2 linked regions of the Kluyveromyces lactis genome follow. The protein of the gene in region 1 interacts with the protein of each later gene in a biochemical or structural test. Links are inferred from orthologs where the notes say so. Each region holds a gene or a part of one and is shown in the gene's direction. Other genes may lie near its edges.

Region 1 (2,904 bases):
TGGTTTGTAGCAGAGCTCTCATTTATGAGCACCTGAGTTATGTCAGAACCCAGACGTCCTACCATAATAGCATACAATAAAATAACCATGTGTAAGTCGATTGTTATTCGATATAATTGCCTGATAGATTATATATGCATATGTATATATATACATTTGAACTGCCAATTACCTTTTCAGCAGTGCATTGTTGTAGTGAGTAGAAGATGCAACGAAATGTACAAGAAGTGAAAGAGTATGCTGATCAAATTCCTAAATCATTGAGCGTCTTTTCTGTTCTTATCTCTATAAGCGCTGTAATCTGGCTGGACTTCGTATGCATTCGGACTTGGTGGACGTTTTTGCTCAAGCTTTTTTCTCCGCCTTTCGAGTCTTGCCTTTCTTCTTTCGTCAAAGCTTTTTCCCTCATCCTCGTCTGAAGAAGACGAAGATGATGAAGACGATGAATCATGTCCATGATTATGATCGTGCTCGCACTCTCCTTCCTCTTCTTCATCACTCTCTAATGGGGTATTAGGATGGAAAATGCAACAAATCTTAGTTTTCTTCTTGTTCATGTTCTCATTATCTATTACTTTCTCATCCCATCTTACTTTAGACTTGGTGTCCTTCTTCTTAGTTTTGTTTTTCTCATTCTGGCCAGCACGCAATTGAAGCAGCTGCGGAACCTCCGTAACAGTGACGGTATGCGTTCCTTCAGGAAGAGCAGAAGGTCCTTCACTCATATGTTAGGAAATATTTCAAAGTTTAATTATGATGATGGATCAAACTGATAAAAAAAGCGTGACGATAGGTAAAGTTTTCCTGTCTAAGTCTTGATAATCTTTCGTAATTTCACTTATCAAAGGACTGGGAACAAAGTATGAATAATGTAAGAAATCGTTTCCTATTTCTAAAATCTTCGGCGTCAATAAAACGGAATATTTTCTTCAACAAGTCGTGCTCTCGAGTATTTGACTGTACTAGACCATGGAGCTTCGCTTTGTATATGAGATATCCATGTATGCATAGAAGTACTCCAGTCTCATCTCATTTTTAAAGGGAAGAAAGAGGTTAAATATCTGAAGGTCAGAAAGTGGTGATGTTCGTTAATAATGACTACTAAATCCATAAGCCAAAAGAAAGATCGTAACTTTGTAATGCAGTGGCAAACAGTTTACAATTGATAAAGGTATAAGCAGATAATTCGTCAAGAATTCTCATCTCTGTACGTGTGGTATCCATAAGTCATTATTAGCAGTATTAGATACACAGTAATTGAAATCTACAAGACAATTGCATACTTCTCAGGAAAGAATAAGAATTTCAATTTGTTGGTACTTTATTAAGGAAGTATTATATCAAGAAACAGAACGCTGATACAAAAGCCAATTTATCGTCTCCGCAATTCAAATCCTTCAACAAAAGATGGAAAGTTTACAAAGAATGATGATGTCTCAAAGAGCAGGCATGATGGGTGCCAATGCCACCGAGGTTCCCCTTGATGACACCAAGGAAACTGTGTACATTTCTTCTCTTGCATTGTTGAAGATGTTGAAACATGGGAGAGCTGGTGTTCCAATGGAAGTCATGGGTCTTATGTTGGGAGAATTTGTTGATGATTATACAGTAAACGTTGTCGATGTGTTTGCCATGCCTCAGTCAGGTACAGGTGTTTCTGTCGAGGCTGTTGATGATGTTTTTCAAGCTAAGATGATGGATATGTTAAAACAAACAGGAAGAGATCAAATGGTTGTCGGATGGTACCATTCACATCCGGGTTTTGGTTGTTGGTTATCTTCAGTAGATGTGAATACTCAGAAATCATTTGAACAATTAAACAGCAGGGCTGTGGCGGTGGTTGTTGATCCTATTCAATCGGTGAAGGGTAAAGTGGTCATTGATGCATTCAGACTAATTGACCCTTCTACTGTCATGAGAAACCAGGAACCAAGGCAAAATACTTCTAATATCGGGTTGATCAACAAACCGAATATTCAAGCGTTGATTCATGGTCTAAATAGGCATTATTACTCGCTTAATATCGATTATCACAAGACTTCCGCCGAAATGAACATGTTAATGAATCTACATAAGGAACAATGGCAATCGGGACTAAAAATGCATGATTTCAAGGAAAGAGAGGAGCACAACTTGGGTGAAACTCAGAAAATGATTAAGATCGCTGAACAATTCACTAAGAGAATTGAGGAAGAGAGAGAATTGAGTGAAGAAGAATTGAAAACGCGTTATGTAGGAAAACAGGATCCAAAAAGACATCTTGCAGAGACTGCTGAAAAGCTCTTGGAAGACAATATAGTATCTGTATTAACAGCGGGTGTTAACTCTGTTGCTATTAAATAACCATCTTACATACAGTAAAAATACATCAACTTCAATTTGCGAGATAAGTTTTAGCCGATGAAATGATGAATCGATCCAAGAGTGTAGATAATCTGAATAACGAAAGCAGTTTCTAAACGCGTTGCCATATTTGAATGTAACATTCTTTAAGGAAAAGAAACTCTTTCTCAACCTTATTCACTTCAATGTCATCAAACTCGTACCATTGGTCGCGTAAAGTATCAGCGAGGTGTACTTTCCATCTGCTGGCTAACAAATCTTCTGTATCCGATATTTTCATTTGTATTACGCAATCATGGGTGATATTTACTAGTAATTTATAGTGTACACCACTGAATTCTAATTTTTCAGAGAACTCTACTAGAGTTTTGTTTCTATCTTTAATGGAAGTGAAGCCTTTGTCAAACCTGTTGAAATGAAGTATTAGGAATTTAGGATGCTTCAATATACGGTACGTTTTGATGGAATCTTTGGTATGGTATTCTGTTTCGCCATTGAATTTTTGTAAAAGTGTTTCCAGTTTCGTCTGAGATACACTGTTAGCACTGTTACCGTTGCTGA
Region 2 (2,827 bases), on another chromosome or scaffold:
AAAGTCAAATTGTTCTCACCTTCTTCTACATTAATGAACTCACCCATGGTACAGTCCTGTTGATGAGAGAAACCGGACATGATCTGAGACAACGACCCATCCACGTTGTTCAACTGATAGCACCATACCGATCCGTCAACACCACCGAATGCAAAAACACCCGATACCGTTGGATGTACTTTTAACCACACAACTTCTTCCACTTCTTCTAACTCGCTACAACGTTTCCATTGAGCACCGCCCTTCACAGACTTATGAATAAATACCTTACCGTTCATATCTGCAGTGATTAAAAACTTCCCATCAGGTGTGAACCCACCAGAAATCACAGACTCAGTATGTTCTAAGGATCCAGCAAACTTAGGAGGTTTCGAATGAGAAGTCCACAAGTTCGCTACGTTGTCTGCACCACCGGTCATCACTAGGGGCAAAGTAGGGTGGTGTGCAATGCAAAATATAGAATCAGTATGCTTATCGAAAAATCCACTTGAATTATTAGACATATCGATCTCAAGGGTCTCAGCACCATCTAAACCGCCCATCTCTTGATCATTATCGTCATCATCACCAATATTCTCACTAGGTTCAACGTTATCTAAGACAACTTCTTCACCAACTTCCTCATCTGCAATGAACTCTTCTTCAGGAACATTGTCCGCTGTATTCAATTCGGTGTTGTCCATGTTAATCAGTAAACAACTATAATTCTCCGTGAGCTGTGGATTAACAGTGGTATTCCGATCCTTTAACTAAGCCAGAAACAAACAGATATGAACTTTCAATACACTTTGCATTAGTAAGTCATCTTCAAGTGATGAGATGAGATGAGCTTTAAACTGAAATTTTTCAGTGCTTAAAGAGAAAGAAAAGGACGTAAAAGAAACGCAAATGTGCAAATATGGTCTAATTGGACTATTATAGTCAGCTTGTACTGTTCAGATACCATATAGCTATCCTTCGATCATTATTGGACAGTAATACGCCTTCCAAGTAACCGGTTTGGTGCTCTAATGACCAAGTTTCGGATAATCTTGAGTAATTTTGTCACCATATACGATTTAGTGCCTTATGGAAACTGGTTCAAATTCCATATTCTATCTATAACATTCTGTATCAGTTTTGCACAAATGCATAAAGGAAACTACCCAACGAAACCAGGTTATCCATTATCCAGAGGGTTTGATACTGGTGCTGGAATAAGCGTCTCAATAACACAATACAGTATAGGATTTTAAGCTACTGCAATGAGCCAGAGTGTTGGGTTTGAATGGGGATTTCGCCCCAGTGTTTCTTCTGGTGAGAATTTGAACATGGGTCAAGAACAGACGAGCTCTACTGAGAGCAATGACATCAGTAACGACCATGAGCGCGCTCATGGTCATATTCAGAGTAGTCAGCATAGACTTACGCATGGAACGTCTTCACGTCGTATTTCAAAGCCTAGAATCAAGAGACGTTACACAGAAGAAGACGTTTCGATGAATGGGCCTGTGTCTCAAGTTGTGCAACGGGTCAGTAAAAAGAAACCGGTGTACCGGAACTATATCCAAGGACAGCCACTTCCGTTCCCGAGATCTGTAGAATTGATGGATAAACAGTTACTGCAGTCTGTCTTACTTTCGTTGGTAAGGGAACATCCAGAGATTCAGCATTCGCTGTTTTCCAAGGTACAATCTATAAGTTTCAACAAGGAACAGTACGTCAAGGTATTGAAGGAGAAATTGACTCAGGTGTATGAGGATATTCCGTATTCCAAGTATAATCAAAGCTCGGATGGTTTGTTAAACGATTATGCTTTTGGCCGTATGAAGGCTTCAATCATGGAATTTTTAAACTGTGTCATCGATTTCCTATTGTCTAGCATCCCTCCACAATCGGATAGTGTGTTACAATCATTGAAGTTCTTGAACTGTTCTACAGATTTTTTGAACCAATTGCCTGATTTCGAGACAGCTTCGAATAATTACTACAAGAATATGTGTTTTGAACAAATATCTGAGATTTGGTGCAGTTGTATACAATTCGCATCCACAGATTTATCCTTTATGTCCGTGGTTTCCAACTTAGAAGATTGGGAGTCTGTATTGCATACGTTGAATGGAAGATCGAACAATAGACTACAGAAACCATTGGAACTGATAGGGACTATCAAGAACTCGGCCGCTATGATGTCACAGGACAGAAACGGTCACCCGCTGTCTCAAACACAACCGTCCACTGTTGGGTTCTTAAACATTAGCAGCTGACGGGGACAAATGTGACAGCTGAACCCACCCTCATCATAGAATCATCATTATATATAAAGAAAACGCCCACAAACAGACCAAAAAAGGAAGATATTTTGAAACATCATAATGGCCATCTATATATCCTTGTCTATACATATATAGCTCTCTAATACAAAACTTGCATCACTCACCCTGTTCCTCTGTTCCCTTTCTCTCTAACTTCATATGTCATGCCATACTCTTTATTTAAAACTGATGCATTTATCGCTTTGATAAAGCTTCCCTTTTACACATTCGAAAGCAGAGATGGAAAAAAGAATGGCAAAATTAGGACAGCTGGCACCTCAGGACAAGTCATATCTGTTTGAGCTTAAATTTTACGTGGCTGCCGTTATACGTATCGTAAATTATAGATAAATTCATCCGTTATGGGAAACGTTCAACCTGTTCATTATGATCCAAGCACAGTGAAACAATTAACCAAAGAGATAGCTATTGCGTCTGGTATTGGTGCTTTGAAAGGTGCAGCCATTGGGTTAGTAACGGCGTTATTACTAAGGAAGTTTTCTACCACGTACAGGAACGTGCGGACCCAGGTT

Evidence for each region.
Region 2: the proteins of RPN11 (region 1) and STS1 form a complex in vitro, tested with the Saccharomyces cerevisiae proteins (2 studies listed by BioGRID). The link is inferred for Kluyveromyces lactis from reciprocal best matches to the Saccharomyces cerevisiae genes RPN11 and STS1.

What each region holds. Positions count from the first base shown.
Region 1 is NC_006041.1:1,251,319-1,254,222, reverse strand, and holds RPN11 (proteasome regulatory particle lid subunit RPN11), read left to right. Parts: upstream 1-1,407; coding exon 1,408-2,343; downstream 2,344-2,904. Other genes in the region: linker nucleoporin NIC96, read left to right, coding at 1-10; type 1 protein phosphatase-activating protein YPI1, read right to left, coding at 258-725; mRNA splicing protein SAD1, read right to left, coding at 2,456-2,904. UniProt on the Saccharomyces cerevisiae protein: Component of the lid subcomplex of the 26S proteasome, a multiprotein complex involved in the ATP-dependent degradation of ubiquitinated proteins.
Region 2 is NC_006040.1:1,331,987-1,334,813, reverse strand, and holds STS1 (Sts1p), read left to right. Parts: upstream 1-1,244; coding exon 1,245-2,246; downstream 2,247-2,827. Other genes in the region: SQT1 (Sqt1p), read right to left, coding at 1-683; RCF3 (Rcf3p), read left to right, coding at 2,657-2,827. UniProt on the Saccharomyces cerevisiae protein: Involved in ubiquitin-mediated protein degradation. Regulatory factor in the ubiquitin/proteasome pathway that controls the turnover of proteasome substrates. Targets proteasomes to the nucleus and facilitates the degradation of nuclear proteins.